Linked DNA regions of Mytilus edulis. The protein of the gene in region 2 purifies or fractionates together with the protein of the main gene of each other region. This does not show direct contact. Links are inferred from orthologs where the notes say so. Each region holds a gene or a part of one and is shown on either strand. Other genes may lie near its edges. The genes, in order: CREB-regulated transcription coactivator 1-like, 14-3-3 protein epsilon-like, phosphatidylinositol polyphosphate 5-phosphatase type IV-like and serine/threonine-protein kinase SIK3-like.

Region 1 (6,946 bases), on a different chromosome or scaffold from region 2:
ACAGAATTAGTCGAGTTAAGACGAGTGACTTCTTTTTAATTCTGGGATGACGGAACAGAATTAGTCGAGTTAAGACGAGTGACTTCTTTTTAATTCTGGGATGACGGAACAGAATTAGTCGAGTTAAGACGAGTAACTTCTTTTTAATAAGAATAAGAATCATATGTATTATTCCAACCAAGAACCTTTGATGTGCAGCATGACATAGAATCATATGTATTATTCCAACCAAGGACCCTTGATGTGCAGCATGACATGTACAAATAAAACAATACATTGTGATTTGTAACAGAAAAACATTTTTGTTATACATTGAAATGAAATATTAAAAGTTCAGACAGATGTTATTATGATAGCGCTACACACGTTTCTTGTCTTTATTTTATATAAGTCCTTTAATTTAATTGTTTTCTGTTAAAAATATTTCAAACTCTACATCTTTTCAGTTGACGAGTATATATGTTTAATGTAAACGTTATAGTTTAATGAAACATGTCAGTTTAACCTATTTAATACTTATGGATATGGGGTAAATACATGTATGTAGATATATACGCTGTATCAACCTGGAAATGTAAACAAAGGATTTAATAGTTAAATACATGTGTGCACCGTATATATATATATATATATATATATATATATATATATATATATATATTGTGTTAATGTTAACCATTGATTTATTTAAGTTGAAAGTTGTGAAAGCAAACCTGTTTAAAGGATTGGTTATGGAAATTTTGACTAATAGACAATCAGTGTTGTAAGATGCTGTGCGTTATGACTTCATTTACCCTGTAATAATTTAAGAGTTATAACTTTTTCCTAAAGCGTTGTCACTGCTTCAGTTGACTACAAATCGAATTTGTAGAAAATCTTACAAAAAAGTATCGGTCCTAATATTAACAGGGTGCATATTTTTTTGAATCGACTGCATCATTGTTTCATTTGGTGCATTTGGTATTACCATTGGGAAAAGTGTGATGAACCGTTTTTCGTCAACTTGTTCCAGTTTTTGCATAAAGAAAACATAAAAATAACTCGGAAAGGGGGGGGGGGTAAATTAAGCTAGCATCGTTCATTAACGTTTCACGATATACAAGAAGAATTTGTGGCCCTGAATGCTCCTAACCTTCGTACTTAATTTGGTCTTTTTTTAAACTGTTATGGAATCGAGCGTTACTGATGAGTTTTTTGTAGACGAAACGAGCGTCTGGCGCAAATACACAATTTCAATCCTGGTATATATGAGGAGTTTATTTCCTACCTGATTCAAAGTTCAACTACGCTGGTGGCATCTATGTCATTGGACTTGAAAATAAAAGTTACCACAAATACAGTTAGATGTATCAAGACTTAGACAGGTAGAAAGAAATCGGCAAGGAGAATTTTTTGATAACCGAAATGCGAAATGATGCAAATGAGCTTTCAATTTTATGAAACAACAATCTAGCAACACGTGTACAGGATACATATTTTCAAGTTGACACGGTATAGCATGGCATTAATTTAGTTCCTATTAAAAAAGTCAGCGAAAGACGATGGCTACTGTTTTGATGGACGTTTTGTAACCTTGAAGTAATTACTTAGAAAGTTAACAGTTTATATGAGATGCCCCTCAATTTCTTTCCCAATAATGTTGGTCTTCTCTTTTTAGAAAGAAATATTTTTTAATTCCGGATTAGGAATAAAAAAAAAAACCTCCGATCAGAACAAATTAAGAATTTTGTTAAGAACCTTCAATACAATATTTGTAAAACAGTTTAGTGCGTCCAGAGTGATTTTCTATGTTTACTTTCATCGGATCGTTCAAGGATTCGGAAAGGAATCCAGAGTTGATTGTTCAAAGGAGTTGCAATCATGTCATACACTGAAGTAAAAAGTCGAATGTTATAGGCGCGTGTTTGATTATTCGATTGATTGTTCTCTGCTGACTGTCAAGCGACAAGTTGAAATTATAAAAAAATATCTCAGGTTTTGTTTCAGGTAGATGACGGATTGACAATAATCAAATAAATAGGTTCTGCAGAATAGATTGACCAGAATGAAGGGTTCGAATTTCCACTTACACTGGGGAAGAAGGGTATAGACATGGACCGAAATTTTCTAACATTGTGGATAACAGAAAGAGTCGTTGCATGGGTTACTAGTAATATATCAAAGGTAGTTCAATATACCAGACGCGTGTTTCGTCTACATAAGAATCATCAGTGACGCTCAGATCAAAATTGTTATATAGCCAAACAGTACAAAGTTCAAGAGCATTGATGACCCACGTGAAGAGGGTGTAGCACTCTCCCAACACTGGGCATCTTATTAAACGTCCACATTCCAATCGAATGATTCTGTGAACTTGTGCATCCGACTATAACCAAACTAACGCCCTTCTTAAGCATATGTTTACTGCTATATCATGGAGGTCACACATGTCCATACCCAAGTCAACCTCTGAGGTTTATTCAAACAAATAAATAAATCCAACCTCAACTTAGGTTCAGAAAAAAAGGTCGATCGATGGAACGAAGGATAGTCGATTTAGACTACAACTTTGTAAAGGGGATACTTAAATTACGTTATATTGGATCCTAGAGTATTGAGTGACATGCTGCATAATCAAACGAACACTAAACACCCCTTCTGTGCGAGTTCTACGGTTGGCGATATAGGTCTCGATGGTCACATTTATATAATTGGTGAGGCAGTAAATCACGGTCTCACTGCAATAATGGAGCTACGCCAAATTCAAGATATGCTTGTCAGTCCCTGTCTATATCAGCCACTGTCGAAATAAGAAGATATGTCTTTTAGTCCACGTCGATAAAAGATATGTCTATCAATCGCCAACAAAAGACTATAATCGTGGCTAAAAGTTTATTGTATTTTTGTTTTACTAGTATATATGATGAATTTTCCGTTGCGTATTTAGATTAAGAGTGTCGGATATTGTGAGCAGTAAAAACGAAACGTTCAGTGCTTGGATTCTGAAGGTCAGCATGATAAATTTGAAATGATTATCACCTTTCGGTTACAGCCGTCCAAAGTTTTTAAAATCGTCAAGAACTGCACACATTCCGGGCAAAAAATGAAAAGCATGCAGTTAAATGATGACAGACCCTTCACCGTGAACATGTTCATGACCTCGGACTGTTATAAGGATATGACCTATTGGTATTCTGCCAATATTGGGTGGTGTTTTCGGTAGGATCATTTATTTATATCTATTGCTAAGCATTTTTTTTGCGTTTTAGTTGGCAGATATTTATCATTTCGATTTTGTACAATATATTATTTGTCAGCAAAATAAGCTAAGAAATTTCGCTGATAACTTATTCACTTGCAAGTGAACAATTCGACCTCATTGAATCCGTATTCATGTGACCTTTAATTAAATCCCTCAGCTAGAGATTGGTTACGCATGTATTAAATGGGTGTTTAGCCGCTATAAATCAGTCCACTCGGGAAATGCATATGAGTGTCAGCATTGCGAAATATTATGTTGAAAGTGAAACTGCGTTCCTTTGGTTATTTTAGTATATTTCAGGACCTCCACAATTCGATTTCAGAACATTATTTAATCGATAAACAATATGAACAAAATATGGCAGAAACAAACTTGAAATCGTCTTTTCACTAACTGTAACCTAACGGCCAGTGGACGAACTGGCAGTGTGGCCGAAACGTCTCGATAGCTACATGTAATCTCAGATTGTATGATAACATTAAATATAAATGAGTTCGAGATTTTAAATCTTTATATATCATTAATATGACTGAATTTTTAACTGCTTAAGCCTTTTATTGTTACTGATTTTCTTTTAAATTATGAAAATTCAGCATTATATAGATTAGCAGGTGCTTGTTGTGCTGCCACCTATCAAAGATCACATGTATTACACGGATGGATTTGATTGGATAACAATAGATTAGGCCCCCTGCGAAGTCAAAATCATAACAAGCTTGTCCTTTTCTGCCATCATGGCGAATCCACGGAAGTTCAGTGAAAAAATAGCATTACACAATCAAAAACAAGCAGAAGAAACTGCTGCTTTCGAGGCAATAATGCGGGATGTTACGCCTGTTACGAAGGTTTGTTATTATTGTCGCTTGAAACGCCTTATCGGTAGCATTCTAATTATGTCGACTAATGAATCGTGTTTTGTCAACATGAAACTAATTTTCGCTGTTATTTATTTATATGTAGGTCCCGTCGATGCAAAAGCAGCATCTTCAACTCCAACAAAACATAAGTACACAGTACAGAGCCGGTTCCTTACCAAATGTCAACCAGATGGTGGCAAATTCCGGTATAGATCTACAGGTGAGATATTTACGATGTTGACATAACTGTCGTCTCGTGTGATTATTGTTTACATTTTATAGATTATGTTAATGAAATATTATTGTTATGAAACATTATTTGAATTGTTATCTTTTATTTGATAGAGTGCATTTCAACATTTGGATGATTTGAGACAGATGCCAAACCGGATGGACAGTAGATTCCATGCAGTCAGAGACAAGGGGAGACCACTCGGTCCGCACAGACGAGGATTTCCAATTGATAAAGCTAGGGTACACACAGTTTATTAACTTTAACTTATATGTTTTTTCACATCTAGCTAACAGGTTCTTTTGGGAAAATGTCTTGTTTGACTCAGGTTGATGTCACACTGACATAATTTTGAACACGAGTTGTATATGAAAACTTCTTTGATATTTTAGTCTGGAAAAATATCATTAGTTTCCCCAATTCATTATTGAGTCCAGTAAGTCAGTTATTTTTAATAAGCACAATGTTGATTGGATGAAGTTAACTGGGTAAATGCATATTACTGCTCGGCATCATACTAGTTGATATTAGATAAATTAGGACTTTCAACTAGTTTTCAGTATTGAAGTTATTTGAACAAATCACAATATAGTGTATTGCTGATTTTGGTGCAAATGGCATGTCTATTTCTGCTTGATTTATTTAAAGATGGCTGTGACTTAGGTTGGATAACTGATTGACATACATGCACATTGCATACACATGCATATACATGTACATATGTACCATGTACACTCCTGACAAAATGATTCCAGCAATAGTTCCAGGGCATTATTATAATTTGCTGCAATTTGTTTTACTTGGCCTAAATGATTTTGCACAACATTACTCAAGATAGAATTATAAGATAAAAAAGTTACTGGAAATTTTTATTTACTATAATATCTGACATGCTTGAATTTATGGCCAAATTGTAACAAGACAATTACAAAAATGAACTTCATGTAGGTCACATTAAGGGAAGCAGTGCCAGTAATGCCACTTCAATGACTTTTAAATACATGTATAAGATTTCTTTAAATGGTGTGATTGTCAGATTAAGTTTTTATTAAATCATGGCAAAATGTTGTGTCTTTTTTGGGGTCTCAAACTTGATACAAATTCCTTGTTATTGTCCTTTTAGGTAAAATTTCTACTGGACAAATAAATCTCAACAAACATTGTTAGGATTAATAGTACTTTCTATTTGATCACTAATTGCACCATTTGAATACACCTTTGTAAACATTGATTTTTTATAGCTATCATGTATCTGGTTCTAGAAAAAAAGGCACCACTCCTAAACAGAATGATTTAAATTAAGCTAACTTAGCCTTCTTATTTTATTCCCATGTTACTTGATTTTTGCATACAAATTTCCTAAGTGGCATTGAAGGACCTCTTCTGAAGTGATAAACAGTTGTAACACAAATACTTTTTTTTCAGACAAATTGTTCCCCTTATGGATCAGCTTACTTGTCACCACCCCCAGACACCAGTTGGAGGAGGTAAGCAACAATCAATTTTCTGTTTTATCAGTTGCTTTAATTTAACTATATACCAGTCTTATAATACTAATTATTGAGTGATCACACACTATATATGCTTGTAAAGTATTTGAATATTATAAGGTTTGATTTACATGTAACACAAGCAAATGAATATTTTTTTTTTGCTTTTGTGGTATTGCAATGGAATTTTAAATCACAGTTATCCTATATACTTAATTTCTCATGCAAAAATCAATGGTAAAGCAAAATCTGGGTTTTATATATATTCAAATGCAAATTTCTTATTTTAATGGGTAAAGAGGTTCTTTTGCAAAATAATTATTGTTCATTTGCCTTAAAGTCATCGTTCCTCTTAGAAGGATCAATACTGTAACCATCAAATATTAATTTAAACTGAAAAAGATTTAAATGGCTTGACCAACCAGACTAGAAATACTAAATATAACATAAATACAGTCTTGCAACTAAGCCAGAGAAATCACATCAAAATGATGTTGGGCTTATCATCTGCACCACTTAAAAAAACACCATAATTTCAAATTAAACTGTCACTCCAATTAAAATTTGTTAGATGACAGGAAGCACATGTTATTTTATCCTGATCCACAAGTGGTAATTGTTGCATAAATGGATTAATAGTAAATACACAGCACTGCCTCCCCCTTTTTTGAGAGGTTTTATATAAAAATTACCCTCCTTTTTATAACATACTATATAAAAATGCATTTACGTTTGATAACTATATATTGATTTGGGGTATGTATAATCTTCATTTCATATATGAATATGCTATTCAGAATCTTAAATTATAAATAGTCAATGTTATACAGTGCTCTAGCTAGAATTCAAAAGGGGCAGGGTGCCAGTGGAGGGCAGGGCACTTTTTTATGATAGGAGAAGGCACTGCTCATTTTTTTTTTGTCTACGTCCCTGAGTGTATCACGATTTCACATATTTTTTTTCTGTATATATTGTTAATAAAGATGCATAAGTTGTTGTTTTGATTATTTATTCTATAAAATTTGCATAAGAAAAGTCATTCATACTACATGTTCATAAAACATGGCAATACACATTCATACTATTAACCAAAAGAGGCAAAATAAACTTACTTTTCTCCCCCACC
Region 2 (7,639 bases):
AAATACTATGGCTTGGTTTTATTGGGATTAATTTTCAAACAACGATCTTAATCCATCAAGTTTACTTTGAAGTCCTTTTGCTGAAGTAGTAAAATGGCAAGATCATCAGCATATGTATAGTAAAGAATAGGCTGGTCGTGAATAAACGACAGCTGGATCAGGGGAACTTTTAACACAATCAGGAAGTTCATTTATAAAACTTTTAAACAAATTTGGACTCAAATTGTCTCCCTGTTTTACTCCAACTTTAGTTCTAAAGAGATCTCTTACCATACTCTCTAACTATATTCAATAGCTTAAGTTTTATCCCTGGGAGAATGACAGTATTAAAAGCCTTCTGGAAATCATCAAAGCAAGCAAACATTCTACCTTCTTTTGTATTACAATACTTATTTATAATAGTTTTTAGAATGAACATATGGTCAGATGGTACCGGTCATGTTTTTTTTTTTTTTTTTTTTTTTGATAAACCCAATTTGGCTCTCATCAATGATATGATATTTATCTAAGGATTTACAAAGACGTGTATCAAGTATCTTATTAAAAAGGCTTCCTCAATGAATCAGTAATTGTAATTCCTCGGTAGTTATTAAGATCGGATGCATCATTCCCTTTATGAATTGGGAATAAAAAACGTTTGGTCCAGGGTTCCTGGTATTTTTCATAAGAAAGATAAAGATGTATAACGGATAGCATGGTACCAATAGGCGTATTCAGAATTTTCAAAAACCACGGGTAATAATTATACCTGAACTTCGAATTTGCACCTTATAATCAGCTTGACTATATACCAAATGACAATACGACTTCTCAAAATCCAGGCTAAGAATAAGATGTATGTTGTTTAATTCAATTACGGACCTGCGAATTCGCGGATATGGTCTCCAACGATCCCCATAACATTATTTTGACTCCTTACTTATGCTCTTTCGACTTAAAGTATCAATTTTAAATTGTAGATTTTTCTTTTAAATTCCACCTAGTAGGTACATACTAGTTTTTAAAAAGTTTATCTTTTCAATCCATGCAAAATATAAAGAAAATAAATCAGGATACTGTTATTTCATGTGATGTCAAATTTGTTAAAAATCGCCTTTTCTTAATTCGTAACTAAGAATGATCATAACAAGAGCTGTGTGTTAAAATGAATTCTCCACTTTTGAGAATTTATATTGTTATTAAACTTAACAGCTTATAATTAGTTGCCTCTTGGTTGATTTTATACATTATATTTTAAGTAACAGTGACTGGTCATTTCATTTTGTATTGGTTTTTTTTTTCGATTCGTTCCAATTTTCTTTCCTTTCGCACTTTACAGGTATCCCTCTCTTCACCTCTATTAGTTTTTATCATTTAGTGAAATCAACTTCACAAATATATCATATAATATATTCATATAACAAAAGACACGTTTAAAACTATTGACTTGTCTTATTAGGTCCTATTTAATAAAGAGTTACGACCATCACAATTTTAAGTTACGACCATCCTGAACATTTTTGTTTTTTTAGTTACGACCATCATGCTCGAATTATTGAATGATCATTTTACGAAAATTGGAATGTTTTTATGTATCAAATTTTGTTTCAATATCAACGCACTGACGATTAGTATGTATGAGACAAGCGGTTTTACTGAAACATTTTTTTACTGCACGAAAATTGGAAAAGAAAAATGTATCCCTAGAGTTGTCTCCCATCTTCGGATGGTCGTAACTTTAAGTTACGACCATCTGCTTACCACCAGTGATTATACGGCCTCTTCCGTTAGCCAGTTGTACAAATGTTATGAATTACATATATAACTGTTGTCCCCTCACTCCAGGGAGATGGAAGTAGGATTAGATTAAACTACATTCAATGTATAGTGCATGCACAAGTATTTACTCGCCTATTTATGTTAAAATATAAATGCAACTAAGCGCAAATATGAAATCGGCGCAAATGGAAGATTGTTTTTTTTTTATTCGGCGCTAATGCCATACGCCCTACAGTCCAAATACGTCAAATATGCCAGAAGACTTCTTTTATGAGTTATTGTCCTGTGACAATTCTTTACCTTTTTCATTTAAATATTGCCTATTATCTTGAAAACTATAATAGAAAAGAGAAGCTTTAAATTGCAAACATGATCAGCAAAACAAGTTCTACAAATCATCATCTAGTGGAAATCGTCTGTCGACGCCTTATTAAAGTTGTTGCCCTTTAATTACGATTTTTACCATTTTTTTGCGTTTTCGCCATATCAACGTAAATAAGCAAAAATTATCAGTAGGCCAAGAACTTAAATTAAGACAATATAGGGGAAAAAATTTGACCACTCCTTATTGGCGTTATTGTCCATTGACAACGATTTTTACCAATTTTTTTTGGCATTTTGTCTTTTATATGGTTAAGATTGTAATAGATAAAAAGACATTTTAAATCACAAAAATTATCAGCAAGTCAAGAACTAACAAGTCAAATTTTGCTGTGTAACGAAATTAATAGACTGTCCAATCTAATTAAAACCTGATCTCTCAATATCAGAAAACGGGAGCGATGAGAGATCGGTTTTTAATTAGATAGTAGACTGTCCTTCTTTTTTCTTAAAATGTAAAATTAATAAATCTTTACGTAAGCAGCTTGAAAAAGATATAAATAATATATGTCCAGAATACTTTAAATTGTCTGAAACAGACAGATAACAATTAATTCTATCTTCATTTGATATTATGCAGCTTACTGTTCCGTTCATTAAAAAGTCATTTGCACTGAGGGGAGTGGACACAACGCCTGCATACTGAATATTACTGTTTTACCACTTTATATATGATGTTTAATATGTTAAATTTCCATTGTGTATATTGTATTGTATTTTTTGTATATACCTTCAACCCCCAGGGGTATAAATGTGCATTTCATAAATAAATTTATAGGAGAAATTGCCCTTAAAAGAGGACTGTTGACCCCTCTTTTGTCAGTGTTGTAAGCAAAAACGTAAGAATTAAGAAAGAGAGAAACTAAACCAGACTGAATGATTAGCGATACAATTCAAGATCAACATAACAGAATTTTTTGTCATGAATTTTATTCTCGTCTATAATGTTGTAGAATGTCCTTTGTTGAATATGCACATAGACTTTAAGGTGAGTGACACAGGCTCCGCTATCGATCCTCTGTTTTTTTCTTCTTCAAATCTGAGTCATAACTCTAATGACAAACAAACTTTTACCATTATGTTAAAAAATTCTACTTTTAGCTCATCCATGATTTTCTTTGCACCCAACATGGCTCGATATTTCTCACTATGCTTTGACAATTTAACGGATATACATGTATACATGTATGACTCTGATAATTTCCTGCGGAAACACATAGGACAATGTATGACTTGTTTCACGAAAAGAACAGAATTTGAGGGAAAGCAATGACATAGACCTGTGGCGTCTATATGGTGCAAGTCTATGATGCAATATGGAAGGGGCCACAGATCTGAGGGAAGGACACATTTTTTAGGCTGGACACAGATTTGAGGCTTACATGTATAACATATAAAAAATGCAATTAAGGCGGTCATAAAAATAGCCCAAAAAATCAGCGCCGTTTAAGGCGGTCATAAAAATAGCCAAAATAAAGAGTTTCAGGCGGTCATTAATCGTGGCAAATCCTGCATGATATTTTCAAGCATAAAATGGAGAGCAAAGACTTCCAAATAGGAGACACGCTCCCATTAATTTATGAATAGTGTATGATAAGCCATTTGTTTTCCACAACGGCTACCCCTAAATCTGCCTCTAATTACGGAATATGGAAGTTCAGAGGCGGGTTGGGTTCGGACAGAGGTTGTTCCCTAAATAAACTGAAACCTTTAAAGCTAGGATTACATAATCATGGATACTATGGTAAATGCATACTTAAACCCCTTTCTTTTTATGCAAAATCCTCAGAATTCGGTATTTTCTTAAAATAAATTCAGCATTTCATTGAAATATAGCCGCTATGACAAAACTGCATTCTCGAAGAGATTATTTCCCTGAATTGTACGATTGTAGATAGCCTGGACCGTATTAAACTGAGTTGCCTTGAAATGACACGAGAATATTGATCAATATTAATTTAAAGACACATATGTTGTATGACAACTGACTTATGATCTGATTAATCAGATTGACTAAAATTTGCCGACCAGCTTGAACCGGAATTGCTTAGCAGACAATGATCTGACTAACACATTTATTTAAAATACTTCTTCTCCGCAATGTTTTCCATCTGCTCAGTGATTTTTCAAGTTAATGCGTTAATTTTGACCTACAAAACGCCGGCTGCATATTTTCAGAGGGTCTTTCACGAAATAGACATTCTAGCTGACAACCTAGTTAACGCAACCTCCTCCCTTAGTCAATCGCTGCGTCGTATTTGTTCATAAAAATTTAAGAAACTGTGAACAGCAAGAAGCGAAAAAAAATCAGTATTATATGTAAGAAAATGTTGTGTCTAGTTGCTTTTTATGATCTTTCAATAAATTACTTTGTTTTGAAAAAAGATTTTTTGACATAAATGACTAAATTTGTACATTTTTTGCATTCATATTGAAGTCAAGGTCACAAATTGACAATCGTAAAATTATTAATATATCGTACTACGTCCGTGTGCAAACGGTGAGTAAATGAATTAATCATGAATGGGCTTGTTCCCGCGCATGGATACAACCGTTAGTAAGGAACTACTTTCATTGGCGGCATCGGCCATTTTAGAACAGTTTACGATAGTAATTTACAATCTTTCTGAATCTTTGCTAAATTGTGGTCATCGAAATGGCTGATAGAGAGGATTTAGTTTACATGGCCAAGTTGGCTGAACAGGCCGAGAGATATGATGGTATTTATTCGTTTACGATACATGTCAACGATTCAATCAAAATATGTCGGCTATCTTGCATTACTTCCTCTCGCATAATTTAAGACGAGGAAGCAGTTAAAACTTCTATTGTATGCCTCTTATTTACCTTTATGTCTGATTTTCTGATTGCATGTCATGTTTAATACTTTACTGGTAAATGTTTTAAACTGTTTTTGTCCGTAGAGGATAATATTTGCAGTTGTGTCCATGGATATTGACATGACACTGACGGTCGCCATTTTGGGTGATTCTAGTTGTTTCTAAATGCAGATTTTGAATATTAAATGCCAGTAAACTGTTCTAAATAAATGTAAAATATGCACAACGTCCATGTATCGTTAGGTTTCTTGAAGTTGAATCTACAATTATATATTGTTTTGCAATGGTGTACATTTGAAAACCATTTGAAATGTATTACACATTTGAACAGTTATTCTTTTAAACTCCCAGACATATCATTTAATGTTAAATGGTCTACCCTTCTGACTGCTCATAATTCAACGAGTTTTCCTTGCATGTGTATGATATGATAATGTTCAATCCACCTGCAGACAAGTTATAACTTTTGATTGTAATAATATAGGAAATAAAACTTGAAGGAGTGGCCTTGGTAGAAACCTAATCTGCAAATTTTTACTATCCCAAAATACTGATTTACTATTTCAATGGTGTGATGTTCTATAAATAATGCATCCATAGACATACAGCCAGTCCGGAAATATGTCCTGTCAAAAATCTGCCATTGTATATACATGTAGTCCAATAAAACGTCTGATTACCCTTTATTGGGTTTGTCACCATCTTTTCTAATAAACATTGATGAAACAACTATTTGGTAACTATCTAAGGCCCAAAAGAAGTTCACTCAATGATTGTTCAACCAAAAACTGGTCTTGGATACCATTTTTGTTCGCTGTTATACTAGTCTGTCGCTTCCACCCCATACATGTATGTAATGCAGAGTTGTCCAGAAGTTGTTACGATCTTATTGGTAATATTGGCCAGCTAACTTTAAAATGCCAACTTGAGTAAGTGAGCTTATCTTTTGGTTGATAAAATCGAACCATAAACTCTAAAGGAAACATTTATGGCGCTGACAGTTTAACCTTTAAAAAATGCTCATAAAAATCAATGCAGGCAGGCAAAATATAAATCATGATCAACTGACTATTATTGCGGTATGTAACAGGAACCAAACCTATTTTTTATTTTGTAAGCTCTAAAAGTCTTCACTATGCACTTTTGTATCCCAATGAACATAAAACACCCCTTTCATTATTAATTCTAGGAAGTCTATAGAGCTTAAACTGTTGCTTTATTACAAAATAAAAAGATTTCTGGTATCCCTACATACCCCAACATAGTCTTCACACATGGCCACAGACTCTGCATCCAAGGCTTGTAAAATCATCTCTACAGGCCATAAGTGTAACAGTAAATTTGGTCCGGTAGTAAAATTTGTCCTCCAGACTTATTTTCCTACTTAATCAAGTTCATGTCCATGATTTTACTAGTAATATAAGTCCTAGGACAAATGTTCCTAGGAAAATAAGTCCATAGCTAGTAAATTATGTCTAGCACTTGTTTTTCTAGGAAAAATTGTCCTAAGACTTGTTTTTCTTTAGAGTTTTATTAAATCATAAAATATATTTAAAATAGATGAAAAAAATGTTAGATAAGATTGGAGAATTTCCTTATTTTTTTCCAATTAAAATGAAGGACATTTTCTTTATAACCTAATTAAAACATGAATATTGAATTCCCATTGCTTATAACATTTTCTTTTATAATAAAAGACATGGACATTTTTACCTAGGAATACTAATGACATAGACATGATTTCCTAGGAAAATTAGTCTGGGGACATGAATTTGATACATACAACTCTTTAACAATATTAAAACATATTACATTTATAATTTTATATTCACCTTTTAAAATTAAGGGCAAAGACATTTTAACCTAGAACTATTAATGACATGGACATGATTTCCTAGGAAAATTAGTCTGGGGACATGAATTTTATCAAAAATATAACTATGCAATTCTTAAACATTACTAAAACATAACATTTAAATTTCCATGGTTTAAATGTAATTGAATTTATTATATGATTTTAAATTAAAGGACATGATTACTTAGGAAAATTAGTCTGGGGACATATATTACTAACATTGGACTAGATATACTAGTAAATTCTGTAACCATGGACTTATTATACTAGTAATGTTTGTCCGCCCAGACATATTTTACCAGGACAAATTTATCACTAACATATGCATCTTAAATAAAATTATATGAAAAAGCAAGACCTAGCAATCCAACATTCCGTCACAAATATTCACTCTGTTAAAAGTTTTTGAAATTTAAATAACTTTCTAAAACTATCCTGGATTTGTACTAAACTTAAACAGAAGCAAGTATATGATTATAAGATAGTATTCAGCAGTAAATTTTGTAAAAATTCCATTCTGTGTTTTACTTATAAATGGACTTAGTTTTTCTGCCTGGAAACAAGACGTTCACTCTGAGGTTAAAGTTTTTATACGACCGCAAATTTTGAAAAAATTTTCGTCGTATATTGCTATCACGTTGGCGTCTGCGTCGTCGTCGTCGTCGTCCGCCGTCCGAATACTTTTAGTTTTCGCACTCTAACTTTAGTAAAAGTGAATAGAAATCTATGAAATTTTAACACAAGGTTTATGACCATAAAAGGAAGGTTGGTATTGATTTTGGGAGTTTTGGTCCCAACATTTTAG
Region 3 (7,268 bases), on a different chromosome or scaffold from region 2:
TTAAAATATATATATTTATCAATTGAAAGGTTTCTCCCTGGTGTTACATGTAAACGTAAGGGTTTTTATAAGTGCACTTAGAATGTCACACAAAATTTTCAACTACTCTTATTCTCCCACAACTGTAAGCATTCTGAAGTAAGCTTTTAATCCTCTTATTTGCTTATAGATTCTTTTGTGTGAGAATTTGATTAAATAGATGAAAAATGGACTCTATCTGTCAAATCAAAAATAGATCAAGGTGAAAATTATTTAAACGCTTGTCATTTACTGAACATAATGCTTTATTACAATGTATGATTTATAGCGCATATATATGTATATATCATATATATATATATATGTACAGTGAATCATAATAATCTGGATTAAAAACAACCATGCCCTTATTCTGAATAATCCTATTTTGTATGAAGCTTTTGGAAAATTTTCATTTCATAATTACATCTTTGCAAAGGAAATAACAACAATGTTCTATTCTTTTAACAAACTATTTTTAAAACAAATATTAATAAATCACCTGTATCTATATTTTTGTAAATATAGAATACAATCATGACAATGTAGTTATTTCTAGCTTTTTTTTTCTTTCTCAGAAAACAGTCTGTAATTGCTCTGATTTTAAATATATATATACATGTACAGTGTATACGCATTTATTTTTACATTTATCATGTACATGTATATTACAGTATATATATATGGAGTAAAATTATATTGTTCTATGAATGATTAAACAGGCAAATTATATATAATTAGGGATCTGAAACTTTAATATGCATACATGTATATACAGATGTAAATCTTCATTTTTTAAACTTTATATAATTCTGTACAAGAATACTTTAAATAAAGGACTTTTATTTAATGTATGTAAATGCTTTGTAAGATTTTTCAGGGGCATCAAATTAACCATATATTTGAAAAAGCAAGTAAACCTATTCTGTAATTGATAACAATGACATCTGACAGTGGGTCATTCTTGCTTTTTATCAGATATCCACATCAAATGTTACTTTTTAAATGGATAAACTTGTCAATTTTCTTTAACATGTTTACCTTTCGTTTCTTGTATGCATGCTATTTTAGAAATTTGAGAATCTTTAAAGGTGAAAATAAAAATTGTAAAGGCTTTCAAAATTCAAATTGTAGATTTTCAGAATTGAATGACAAGTTTTTCCAATACACTTCTTTCATCAATTGTTAAATAGTTCTGATCGAAATCTATATGAAAAAGTTTTATCTGAATACTTCCTTAAGAATATATGTTAAACTGCTCAATGATACAAACCTATAATAAAAACATGAAAAGCAATAACCAAATGATCATTTTTTAAATCAATAGTTGTTCAAAAACTAATTTATATTTTCTCATAGTCATATACATACATTTTGTACTACAATATTACTGAGGGGGAGGACAGGGGATACCCTTCTCCCTTCTCCCACCTCTCTTCTCCTTTCTCCTACCCCTCTTCTCCTTACTTTTTTTTTTTAATTTACCGGAAAAAAGAGAGATATTTTATTTTTTCATATTTTATTTTTTTCTCCAACTTTTTCTCCTTTCTCCCAGCCTTCCTCTCCTTTCTCCTACCCCCTTTCTCCTTTCTCCCACCCTCTTTCTCCTTTCTCCTACTCCCTTTCTCCCTGTCTCCCTTACCCCTGTCCTCCCCCTCATTACTGTACAATGTACATTTGTACCTTGGCTGGTTTTTGAGACAGTTATATGTGTACATGTACAAATGTATGTAGAAAATGTCCAACAAGTCCTTCAAACATCAATTCAGAATTTAAAAAAATCATGTAAAGTAAAAGTGACAAACACATCATTTTCAACATGTTCAATACACAAAATATATGTACATGTATGTGTACATGAATGTCTTAAATACAATTTGTATCTAAAAACTGAATGTCATTTGATTTTTGATTTTTTTCTCAAAGACATACATGTACGTATACGTTCATGACATTCATTTGTAACTGAATATTTGAGGTAAATTAATGTTAAATTTTAAATGTATGATTATCATGATTATAGCTGAAGTTTTCACAATTAATATGCATGTAACAAGCCTTTAATTTTTGTCATTTTGAATTTGAAAGGAGAGTTAAAATGTAGAAGGACCAGAAACAAATTCCTTAATACATACATCATGTACATGTTATCTAGCAACAACCTGTAAAATAACATTGTATAAAGAATTTTTGTGGAAAAAAACTTGTATTGGGGTCAGTGGCCCAGTACATGTAGCTATAATATCATGGCGAACTTAAACAGTTTTGTACAGACTTGGCAATTTACTACCAACAGCTTTCTGATTACTGAGAACAACTTTTACTACCCATGAAGGACTTACAATGTACAATCTGTCTATTTTTACTAGCAAGATTCAATGTATTTATATACTTACACAGTAACTGTTTGAATGTTTTTATTGTGACCATTTGGTAGAGATGGCACAGTAACTTTGGTAGGTGCTTTTCCAGCTGATCTTTTTCCAGATGCTACTCTTGGTGTTTTAAATGAATCTCTTTCATGCTCACTTGAATTGTCGGATTCTGATTTCCATGCAATATTGTGCATCAATGCTTCCTTGGAAAGTTTATACTTATAGGCTAAACTAGCCACATCTTTGTGTTGGTGATGATTGTGTTTAGTGCAAGTATGAGAACTTGATGAATGAGGAATGGGGTTAGAATTAGATTGAGAACATTTACAAGCACCATTTGAGAGGGAGGTAGTTTCTCTACGTGTGTAACTAAAGGCTGCAGTAATGAGAGGCTGTGATGTTGAAACAGTATATGGTTGATTGCAATGGCTGCATATATTCTGACCAGAATTCTGTGAATAAATATTTCCTGATGCAGTGGTATTGTTTTGTGCACTTGTTATTGTTGCAGTATTTTGAACTGCTATTTTTCGGGGTTCATTGGATTCTTTTTGGGCTACTGTTTTAATTCCACTTAACTGAGAATTTTCTTCCCTATATTGTTCAATATATGATTGATGGTAAGGATAATGTTTGAACACGAAACTATTTTGAATCAAGTTTTTTAATCGTGTTTGTTCTCTCCATGAGTAAGTAATAGGTTGTGGAGTTGGCTTCTCCTTTTCCAGTTTGCGTAGAACACATTTTGAACTGCTAAACCATCCTGTCACATCCTCATTCCTGGTCACTTTAATAGTTTTTGGCACTTTTAATTCAGTGTTTCCTTTTGATTCAACCATGTAATCAGTCAGCCACAACTGATCATCAATTTCCAGCAATTTATTTTGAATCTGTCTATCCAAAAATATATTGAGATCATGATTTGAAGGGGATTTTGCTCCTCTAGCAGAGTTCATGGTTACTCAACTCACAGTTTTAAGTTTAATTTAAATATGATTTCTACTTTGTCATGACATTTCCTTTCATTCATCTCAAGTGTAAACCTAAATTGAAATAAAATAACAAGCAGTTTATCAATAACTTCCTTTTATCCATATATCCAATTGGAAAAGGTTGCTGCAGTCTCCTGACACATGTGCCCTTTCCTCCATTTTCAAACAATGATTGTTGGCATGAACATCCCTCTTGGCTGTTACTTTTTGTTTAACCTCCAAATTTAATTAATTATTTGTCAATTCTAGATTTCAAACACAATTTGCATTACGGAATAATTTAATCGTTTCCTCTTAAAAGATTGTTTTTAACAGAAGTCCAAAAGATTAATTAAAATGTAATTATCTTAAAACGAAAATAAGAGGGAGTGAATAGAACAGCATCGTAAATGTTTTGTTATGATTTGCAACATTAAAAAACTACGTATTTCATCATGAAATGTACAAAAAATGCAGTATTTACACTTTTGAGTGCAAAGTTATATCTTATATGCAATATTATTTCATTTCTTTTAACATTAATATTTTTGTACGACATTCCACCAGCAAACGCTTGACAGAATGGACATTTACCTTACCAGCAAACGCAACAGAGATTCTAAGTACCTTGCAAATATTACTGAGGCTGCGCACTGTGGATTGCATTCCAAGATGGTGGCTGCTGATATAAACAAATACACACGCCGGTAAATAAGCGTGTTTTATCACATTAATGCAACTTTTATATGATATTATCAGTTCTCTTACAGCCTTTGCCAATCAACGTTTTCTCTGTCAAATTACTCAGAATCTATAATGGCATATATAAATCTCAGATGCTGATTCTGAATTTATACAGTTGCTATGGTTTACTCGGGGTAAATAATAATCAAGAATAATGATTAACTGTGGTTTCTGAATTAATCATACATCCGCATAACAACTTTAGTTGTTAAGAAAACACACTATCTATGTTCAATAATGCATGAATTTGATATGCAGTAAGTAAAGAAGGTAAACATGTAAACATGGATGTGTTACCCAAATTTCACACACAACTTTTATATTCACATACTGATAATCACTGCTGTAACAGTTTTTCTGTCAATACAAGTAAGTTGATATGAGGCATATACACAGGCACTTGTCTCAGAAAAAATTTCCTATATACCTTATTATAACACAAGGTACTTAACTAGCATTTTAGAAAAATGTCGGGTGGTGACGAAGTTCCGTTATATGCCGCTTTATAGGCTGTTAACCCCACTAAAACTTGTTATATCGTAAATCTAAATTGATTTATCTTTACAATGGTGTATAAAATGCCTACATTTGTTGTCGGAATCATCCGTATCAATCCTACCAAAGTATGTCAATCATAATAATTTTGCAAACCGCTGAAGAATTGGCAATAAACGCGTCACGTCTCCTTGTATATCTCGGTTTCCGATTGGTCAATTCTATGGGAAAGTCTAAATGATTCTCGGAGTTATCTCTGATCTTGTTTCATTTCATACGTAAAGTCAAAAGAGAGTCTGCAAGACATTGACGTCATGGAAAAATTTGTAACTTAGTCTTAAGTCTTTAGTAAGTGTCCCAAATGACACTGTAAACACTTGTGTACGTTTCCTCTTTTGTAGTTTCTTCACATATGTAATGTTCACTCATGTACTTAATTGAAATTGTGGCTGCTGCTTAAAAAATTTTGACTTAATTTTGATATAGATTTATAGTGTTTTTTGCTGTATAGTGTTTTTGAATCTACCAGACTCCGTTAAATAATTTTCCAGATGGCACAATATCTCATTTCGATTGTCTCTATTAATGTCTTCTTCATCGATTCCTAATAAGGTGTCTAAATCCATGTGTATATTTCCTGTAATAAAGTAAATAGATGTTCTCATCCTCTCTCTAGCCTCCTCATAGTTAGAACAATGTAAAAGTTCGTGTTCTACAGTTTCTGGCTCTCCACAGGAACAGTTTTTGTCTGATGATGGTATAATTTTGGATTTATAATCATTTAGATCACAATAACCTGTTCTCAAACTAGTTGTAATTGAAAACGACCATTTGGATGGTAAATCTTTTGGTATTTTCTGACATACTTTTTGATGATAGTTGTAATAATTTCTGCCACGTTGACTTGATTCCCATTGGTTCTGCCATTTTCTTAAAACACTTTCTCTTGCTGCACGTTTTATATCCTGCCTGGTTACTTCTGATGGTTCTTCTATTTTTTCAGCTTCTTTAGCTCCTTTTTTGGCCAGTGAATCAGCAATGTCATTTCCTTGGATATCAGCATGACCAGGTGTCCATTCAAAATTTAATGGAATTCCATTCATCTTTAATACTTTCATGTTTTTCTTAATTTCTCTTATGACTTTGATGTAATTCTCTGATTTCCAGTTTAAAGTTAAAATTCCAATTGAGGTCTGACTATCTGAAAAAAGTGTAATTAGACATACCACAAACAACACTTGTTAGATTTTTTTCATGGTATATTATATAATTTTACTAACTGTATGATAAGTTCTATTCATACGAAAACTAACAGGTTTTTTTTAAAACAATTTTTATAATATATCATTTACTGCGGACGTGTATTGCCAATTCTTCAGCGGTTTGCAAAATTATTACGATTGACATACTTTGGTAGGATTGATACGGATGATTCCGACAACAAATATAGGCATGTTATACACCATTGTAAAGATAAATCAATTTAGATTTACGATATAACAAGTTTTAGTGGGGTTGACAGCCTATAAAGCGGCATATAACGGAACTTCGTCACAACCTGACATTTTTCTAAAATGCAAGTTAAGTACCTTGTGTTATAATAAGGTATAGGAAATTTTTTTCTGAGACAAGTGCCTGTGGGCATATACTCTGAAAATGTGTGATAGTGGTAGTTTACATTTGCATTGAAAATTTCAACACTGAACAGTAAAATCACATCTTTCAGCATGGCTTGGGAAGAACTCTATATTTTGAACATCTGGATAATTAACATGTGCTTCTAGATACATTTGTAACTCAACCTGAGACAAGCTTAAACTCTAAACAATGGATCTATAGATTTTTATATCTAGAAATCTATAATTTAATAAAGTGAAACAATAATTGCCTTTATTTCATAATTTTGTTTTCTGTTTTGCTTTTTATTTTGTTTTTATTTTTCTTCAATTTTTAAATAAGTTGATCTATGAACTCACAAAATGATGATAACAATTTCAAAAAAAAGTATAAAATTATTTAAAATATCTAGGCATTTCGCTTTTTTCTTATCTCAAATAGAACAATAAAAAAAATATATATTATTACATTGGTTGCAATGAATACATTGATTTCCCAGTTAGATAAAAACCGATAATTTCACATGTGAAATAAACGCGGTTATTTCACTCTCTGACGTCATACAACAATAGGCGTTGTCAAGACGTCGTTAACGTCGGATCAAAACAAATTGTCAATGCGTAGGAAAAAGATATAGTTCCTTACATTTTCTACATTAATTTTATAAAAAAAAGCCATTTGCCAATGTAATAAAAAGAATAACTAATCGCCGTATTTGAATATCAAAAATAAGACAACTTGTGACCGAACGCCGCTATGGACTAAAGTCCTGCTGCGCACTCGTTTAATCCATGCGTCGTTCGGTCACGCGTTGTCTTATTTTTGATATTCAAATACGGCGATTAGTTATACTATAAATAATTAACACCAACAGCAAAAGCAAATTAATCATTATCATTCATCAGGCAAACAAAAAAGAGCTTACCAAACTATCTTAGACCAAAAATGAGAATATTGTTGCAGAGTTTGGGATCAACACACTTTTGCAAAAATAAATAGCCTGGAACAACTGCAAAGAAGAGCTGCAACAGATATCATAACTCCAGCA
Region 4 (7,756 bases), on a different chromosome or scaffold from region 2:
ACCTGATAAAAAGTAACAGCATATATAACCATAATCAGTAACAGGAAGGATGTTCAAGACCATTTCACTGATGAATCAAAAAGTTAATCTACTACATGCCAACTATTTCATTTAATATAAGTTATCATTACAATATCAAATAAATTTCAAAATAATATACAGTATATTGAATGAAAAAATAGTTTTTTTTTGCTTTTGATAACAGCAGAGAACATTGTGCAAATCTAGTATAGTAGATAGTAACAGAAAGGAATTTATTTTAGAATTTTTCATTACCTAGGCAGATTTTTCATCTTGCTAATACAGTTTTAAAGTATAAATGACATTGTTTGCTGTTATCTTCCAATTGTTACCAATCTGAAATGATGTATTTTTCTTAAACTATAAAATAAAGCATTTTTTTGAGAGAAAAAAAAACCTTTCTATTACCAACTCTGTCCTGTTACCGTTGTCCTGTTACTCAAGATTCTTTCATGTTACCGACATATCTTTCTATATTTTAGTATATTTCTAAACCTTATGTATTGCAAATGCTAAAATCAATAATTGGCATTTGATAAACTATTGCAGGATATACTGGTAGACCACAAATAGTGTCTTAAACTTATTCCGTATTCCCGTTAGAAACTTTTTAAAGTTGATTCACTTTGGTAACAGGAAAGAACTGGATTTTTTGTAACATTTTTAAAATTGTTATTGTTAGTTGTCACTTTTAACAATTGTTTGAATTACAGACAACAGTTCCTAGATCCTCAATGTGTGTTGTTCGATTTGTGCTATCAAAATAGCGGGTCTAAAGACATTTATTTTGATTTTTCTAATTGCCAAAAAATTAGGCTTTTTCAGATATTGTCTCGTTTACATTGTGTCTTAGATCAAATTTATTCGTTCATTGTATGTTCACTTCTGTTAATATGTCTTTTGATTGAGTGAAGCCATTTCAATTGATATTTAAGTCGCGTGTTTCGCGACCGTGATATTGTGTCATTCTATGTTGTGATATTACAATATTGCTTTAGATAAGGGTGAATGTGGTGCATATTAAAACAATACTACCCGCTGCATTTGTTTGCACCTGTCCTAAGTCAGGAACCTGATGTTCAATGGTTGTCGTATGTTGATGTGGTACATGTTTCTCGTTACTCGTTTGTTTTTATATAGATTAGACTGTTGGTTTTCCTGTTTGAATGGTTTTACACTAGTCATTTTGGGGCCCTTTATAGCTTGCTGTTTTGTGTGAGCCAAGACCGTACTTTTACCTAACTTGAATGTTTTACTATTACAAATTGTGAAATGAATGGAGAGTTGTCGCATTGGCACTCATATCACTTCTTATATCTATGCGCTGGTCATGTACTAAAACTAGCAGATCAAGAAAATCCATTCGTATGGCTAAATGATTTTCTTCCCCTTATAAGTTTGAATATTCTGTATGATATTTCCTGTTATACTCTGTAAGGGGAATTATATCAATACAGATCAATAAGTTTGGCCCACAGGTTAGTTTAAAATTTAGTCTAACTAATTAACTGTACCTTATATGATTTTAACCGGGTTTGAACGTGATGACATAGTGAGAAAAATCTGCCTACCCATCCGGAGCACGAGAGAGCATCTCCGGTTTTTTATGGGGTTGGTTGGTCTTTGGTTTTCTATGTTGTATTTTGTGTACTTTTCTTTTACTTTTTGTCGTTTTTTGTTTTATTTTTTTCCATGGAATTGTCAGTTTGCTTATAATATTTTCAAGAATCATGAGATATGTACTAAGCACATACTGTCTAGAACTGCAATGCACATAATGTCTAGAACTGCAATGCAGATACATTTTTCAAACCTTCAGGATTTATTACAGAAAATGAGTCTAATAAAGCACTATAAAAATCAGTTGAAATGAGCTTAACTCATCAGATCGATACACTGTACAAGTAAAGGTACCAGCAACAGAAAAAATGACACAAAGTACAATTCTGAGAATACTCGCAGTTACTGACAACTAGTACAAAGCAAATAACAACTGTAATAAAACATTTAACTTACGTAGACTAAAATATCAATCAGTACACACCCACCATCCAATGGATTTAGTGCAAACACGTCATTAACCAAAAACATGACCTTATCCAATGCCAAAATACTGTGAATATGCATATATATATATATATATATATGCATACAAAAATAATGTTAGTTTTTTTTGTTTTTTTTTTCTGATAACCAAAACAATATTTATACCGATAAAACGATATTCAAAGATATACTTACAGTATTGAATTGGTAACATTGTAAAATAAGTTAATTTAAAGGATCGATTAGTTAACCCGGCTTATATCTAAAGTTACTGGCTCGGTAAACAACATCATCGTAAAATTAAGGATGTGTTTTTCGGTTTGAAGCCTTTAGCTAACTTCTAAACCAAGTCTGTGTATTTGGAATAAAATTGAGAATGGAAATGGGGAATGTGCCAAAGAGACAACAACCCGACCATAGAAAAAAACAACAGCAGAAGGTCACCAACAGGTCTTCAATGTAGCGAGAAATTCCCGCACCCGGAGGCGTCCTTCAACTGGCCCCTAAACAAATATATACTAGTTCAGTGATAATGAACGTCATACTAATTTCCAAATTGTACACAAGAAACTAAAATTAAAATAATACAAGACTAACAAAGGCCAGAGGCTCCTGACTTGGGACAGGCGCAAAAATGCGGCGGGGTTAAACATGTTTGTAAGATCTCCCCCCTCCCCCTATACCTCTAGCCAATGTAGAAAAGTAAACGCATAACAATACGCACATTAAAATTCAGTTCAAGAGAAGTCCGAGTCTGATGTCAGAAGATGTAACCAAAGAAAATAAACAAAAGGACAATAATACATAAATAACAACAGACTACTAGCAGTTAACTGACATGCCAGCTCCAGACTTCAATTAAACTGACTGAAAGATTATGATTTCATCATATGAACATCAGGCACAATCCTTCCCGTTAGGGGTTTAGTATCATACCATCATTTATTAATTTTATTAAAGGTTATAAGTAACTTGTGTTAACGAAAGCGTTGACTTAATATGATTTACCAGTAATATCAAAGACATTTGTCTTAAAGTAATATATAGCCAGTTAAGATGGCGTTTCGACTATATGAAATCAAGAAGAAATATTTTGCTCTTTAAATTTGTATTTCAGTAGTCCGGCAAGACCGAACAACAAACCGTTCACACTAAATGTAATGGAACATAACAACAAAAGTATATGTTGGTAGACTAATACATCCAGGCACTTCAGTACTTCAGTGCAAGCAGGGTATACTCTCAAATATGTACAAGAGCAAATACAAGGAATAATGAACAAAGAAATAAAATACACATACACATTCACATAAAATAAGCAAATAATAAGCACAGTCAAAGAGCAGAAACAGTCCAAGGTCACCAATTGGTCTTCAACGCAGCGATGTTATCCCACATAGGAGGCCGGCTTTGGTAGACCCCTAGACAATCATGTATTAGGGTATCGATGGGTGGTACTTCATTTCTGTTTTCTTTGATTTTTTCGCTCATGATTCTTTAACTTTAAAAATAATGGATATTCTGTAATTACAAGATAACTGTATTTTGGACAGTGTTCTCCAAAGTTTCTGTAATCAGTATACTTTTTATTTGGTCTAAGACTACACTCAGCAAAAAGAAGTTTGAATTTCGTATCTTCGTCTTTTTCAACAGTATATATTGGTACTTTTATATTTGGATGCTCGAAATACAGTTTTTAATAAAAAAAATAATTAATGATTTCATGCTAAAAATGAATAAAAGTATACACTACGGGTTCGTGTCGCTCAGTCTTTAGTTTTCCATGTTGTGTTTTGTGTACTATTGTTTGTCTGTTTGTCCTTTTCATTATAGCCATGGCGTTGTGAGTTTATTTTTGACTTATGAGTTTAAATGTCCCTTTGGTATCCTTCGCCTCTCTTCTACACCACCCTTTGAAAATTCCTCTATCCAACCAAGTAAAAATAATTAATTGCATCTTCTAAATTAAAAGATTTGAAGACTGTGATTTGATTTGAAAATTAAAATTCTCCAACTTTGGAAATCTGAACCATTTTATATAGATTGTGGAAGTAAAACTGCTATATAGACACCATACAACCAGTCATATATGTTTTATATTAGAAATAAATGAGCAATCCTAATAGGAGTTAAATAAGTCCCCAAACACAGAAATTTACAGGTATTTTTAGCTGGACAGTGATATTGAAAACAATATAAGTTGCAAGCCCTTTTATCTATGGGGTAAGGATGGGATTAACAGATCAGATAACAAGGGAGGTGTTGAAAAGAAAGAAAAAATGTCCAAATAATAAAGAGTACAATGGTGAATAATGGGGTGCCCAAAGTCTCAGACCCTTATATTGGTTCAAGACTTTTAAAGTTGGGAGTAGGATATTAAAATATAGTATTCCTATGATCACGTACACATGAATTCGATCTCGTTAAACAAAACATATGTGTGAGTCCACACTTTCTTCTTAGTTGCAATTATATATTGATTCTAATTCTTTTCATACACACTATAAATGTCTCTCATCTGTTATTTAAAAGATTTGATAGTTACATTTTTATTTCAATATGTACTCTTAACCGCAGTTCGTCGCTAAAGTTTCGATTGACCTACTTGTGTTGAATGTGTGTCAATGGTGTGTACTCAACCGAAGAAGTTCGTTGTGTATTGCTTTTGGAGACTTAACGCATGCGTGGATCTATATTGTAAACAAAATGGCGACGGTGAAGGGAAAGTCGCAACCCCACGGGGGAATCGTTAGAATAGGATGTTACGAAATTGATAGAACCATTGGAAAAGGAAATTTCGCCGTCGTCAAATTGGCTACTCATATGTACACTAAAACAAAGGTAAGATAAGGCGTTACTCAGTAAACAATATATTGATACACATAAAACAGTTAGAATAACATCACTGCTCAGTCATTGGAGAAGGTTCATATACACACGTTTTGATGCGTTGTTAAGTGTCATTTGGCGAATTTTACAATTGATAAGCCTAGCATTTTTAAAGAAAACTCTACAGAGTACAACCAAGATATTACAAATTTTATAACCAGAGCACGAAGACTTCAAAATCTAAAAAGGTCGACAACCCACTTGCCATGGGGCTGAGACAGAATATTGTTTACTTATGATTGACAACTGAAACAATTGTTCATGTTGTAGTCTTATTTTTTGCAGTATGAAGATGACAGAGACATATGTCATATTGATTTGAATGGAAACTATTAAATGTTGATATAATAGGCTAATTTCCCTAAACAATGTAGATCACAAGTTTAGGGAAATTGACCATGTAAGTTTCAACATCAACCAATCAAGGGGTAGTGTTTTTTTCACAATCTGAATATTTTCTATCACCAAATCAAATTTTCTTTGTCATGTGAAGCATGAGAATTAATGGTAAAAACTTTCAACAAAAATTTATTATCTTTTCCACTGATTTTTTCTTAAAATTTGAGAATCGTTGTAGGTTTATATTTGTGGTACATGTACATTGTATACATGTATTGTCAGAAATTATTTCATTCTATTGTAAATATTATTCAGTGAATGACAACTACAGTGTCATTAAATTTCTCACCAGGTTCTCGGACCCATTTTAGAACCTTGACTGTCTAACAAGTATTGTTATCTGCAGTGGCGGATCCAGAACTTTTCCTAGGGGTGGGGCTCCAGTCATGCTTCAATGATTCCCTATATAATCAACCAAATTTTTCTGGCTATTAATCACTGCAGTAGATCTTCATGATCAATTGTTCAAAGACAACTTGACCCCAATGGGCTGAGTAAATTGACCAGCAGATTTATTCAGATTCCAAAGTTGGACCAAAGGAATTCAAATATATCTCTTTGCTAAACAGGATATTATTAGTAATGTGCATACTTTTGTATATATACTTGACAAATAAAAAAGAAGATGTGGTATGATTGCTAATGAGACAACTCTTCACAAGATACCAAATGACACAGAAATTAACAACTGCATGTACATGTATAGGTCACGGTCACCTTACATCCTTATACAATGAACAAAGCCCATATATCACATAGTCACCTATAAAAGTCCCTGAAATGACATGTAAAACAATTCAAATGAGAAGACTAACAGCCTAATTTATGTACAAAATAATGAATGAAATACAAATATATAACACAGCAACAAATGACAACTACTGAATAACAGGCTCCTAACTTCGCACAGACACGTACAGAATGTGGCAGGGTAAAACATGTTAGTGGGTGCCAAACCCTCCCCCTTATCCTTGGAGAGTGGTGCCGCCATATACAATGAGCAAAGGCACCAACCCTTACACCCCTAAGAAATATGGTAACTTGGTCTTCTTCCACCCAGTAATAAAACGCTTGTCAAAGTTGGGGGTCTGTTTGGCTCTGCGGGATGTACAAATTTGCAGCCACGTCCAGTCAGAATGGTAAAGTTTAATTTGGATGCCTCATGTGAAGAGAGTGCCACGCTCATTGCACGTTAATAACTTTTGCAACAACTCCATGAGGTGGCCTGTTGTAGGGCAAAATTTCTGTGTCTATTCACTAAATTCTAATTTTCAAGTGGCAGTCCAAATTTCCCAGACCATCATCCTTGATGGTCTAGGCCTCTCTATTAACTTGTTCTCATCCTGAACATGCATGAAATATTTGCCACTGGACATAAATCAACCAACAATAAATCATCAATCAATTATTCCCCCAGAAATATTAAGAAAATTAAAAAAATATATGCCAGAGGAGACCGGTTGTCATCTATACAAATTACTTTTTTGCTAGTTTTAGAAAGTCGTCTGCAAAGCTTCATGATAAAGACAATTTTTTTTTCATACTAAATAGAAATTATAACTAAAAGATTATTTCTTCAATGTATTCTTATAATGTACTCCCCAAGTGTCATGCAAGGCAGCTGTATTGCCACATAAAATGGCTTATTTAATGTAACAATAAGTTAACACCATGTTAAACAGGTATTTATCATGATTATGATGGGCTTATACAAAACTTTCTTTTTGCATTTGATTTGATCTTGAAAACTGAATAAGCATATGTATCTGTATACAAATGTAGCTGTGTTTTCCTTGCAGGTTGCCATTAAGATAATAGATAAAACACAGCTTGACGATGATAACATGAAGAAAATTTACAGAGAAATACAAATTATGAAAATGTTGAAACATCCTCACATCATCAGACTTTATCAGGTAAACTACATCATGTACATATGTAAATGCTTCCAATTATCATGTAAACTATATATATATATGCATCCAACAAATACATCCCTGACCCTGTACTATTGCACTGTGTTGTTGTTGAGTCACTGTTACTGTTAGGGCCTTAAATATAAGGCACTGTGTCACCCTGGTGCTATATTTTCTACCATGGTTGTATCTTGGATGATTTTATAACAGAATGTATATAGTGGCCATGGTTCTATATTTTTTGGAAAACCATTGCTATGTTAATTTCCATGGTGCTGTTTGATAATTCTGGGGAGAACACTGGTTGGTGAATGTTATATTTTTATAAATAACAACTCTACATCTCCTTATACTGGTATAAGAATTTAAAAAGAGAAATAAATGTCAGAACTTCAAAAGACTTAATATAACTGGAAAATCATATAATAGTATTAGGTGGAAAACTCATTGAACTAGCAAAGCATTTGGTACTTTGCATAGAACTG

The links.
Region 1: the proteins of 14-3-3 protein epsilon-like (region 2) and CREB-regulated transcription coactivator 1-like purify together in Homo sapiens (affinity purification with mass spectrometry; 3 studies listed by BioGRID and IntAct, with this or other methods). This does not show direct contact. The link is inferred for Mytilus edulis from reciprocal best matches to the Homo sapiens genes YWHAE and CRTC1.
Region 3: the proteins of 14-3-3 protein epsilon-like (region 2) and phosphatidylinositol polyphosphate 5-phosphatase type IV-like purify together in Homo sapiens (affinity purification with mass spectrometry; 3 studies listed by BioGRID and IntAct, with this or other methods). This does not show direct contact. The link is inferred for Mytilus edulis from reciprocal best matches to the Homo sapiens genes YWHAE and INPP5E.
Region 4: the proteins of 14-3-3 protein epsilon-like (region 2) and serine/threonine-protein kinase SIK3-like purify together in Homo sapiens (affinity purification with mass spectrometry; 4 studies listed by BioGRID and IntAct, with this or other methods). This does not show direct contact. The link is inferred for Mytilus edulis from reciprocal best matches to the Homo sapiens genes YWHAE and SIK3.

What each region holds. Positions count from the first base shown.
Region 1 is NC_092347.1:28,358,988-28,365,933, forward strand, and holds the start of CREB-regulated transcription coactivator 1-like, read left to right. Parts: upstream 1-3,925; 5' UTR 3,926-3,975; coding exon 3,976-4,086; intron 4,087-4,201; coding exon 4,202-4,318; intron 4,319-4,443; coding exon 4,444-4,572; intron 4,573-5,755; coding exon 5,756-5,817; intron 5,818-6,946. UniProt on the Homo sapiens protein: Transcriptional coactivator for CREB1 which activates transcription through both consensus and variant cAMP response element (CRE) sites.
Region 2 is NC_092349.1:66,417,267-66,424,905, reverse strand, and holds the start of 14-3-3 protein epsilon-like, read left to right. Parts: upstream 1-4,624; 5' UTR 4,625-4,795; coding exon 4,796-4,859; intron 4,860-7,639. UniProt on the Homo sapiens protein: Adapter protein implicated in the regulation of a large spectrum of both general and specialized signaling pathways. Binds to a large number of partners, usually by recognition of a phosphoserine or phosphothreonine motif.
Region 3 is NC_092345.1:8,937,376-8,944,643, forward strand, and holds the start of phosphatidylinositol polyphosphate 5-phosphatase type IV-like, read left to right. Parts: upstream 1-4,249; 5' UTR 4,250-4,392; coding exon 4,393-4,477; intron 4,478-7,268. Other genes in the region: uncharacterized protein, read right to left, coding at 2,415-3,349. UniProt on the Homo sapiens protein: Phosphatidylinositol (PtdIns) phosphatase that specifically hydrolyzes the 5-phosphate of phosphatidylinositol-3,4,5-trisphosphate (PtdIns(3,4,5)P3), phosphatidylinositol 4,5-bisphosphate (PtdIns(4,5)P2) and phosphatidylinositol 3,5-bisphosphate (PtdIns(3,5)P2).
Region 4 is NC_092348.1:92,250,868-92,258,623, reverse strand, and holds the start of serine/threonine-protein kinase SIK3-like, read left to right. Parts: upstream 1-4,737; 5' UTR 4,738-4,773; coding exon 4,774-4,908; intron 4,909-7,154; coding exon 7,155-7,271; intron 7,272-7,756. UniProt on the Homo sapiens protein: Positive regulator of mTOR signaling that functions by triggering the degradation of DEPTOR, an mTOR inhibitor. Involved in the dynamic regulation of mTOR signaling in chondrocyte differentiation during skeletogenesis.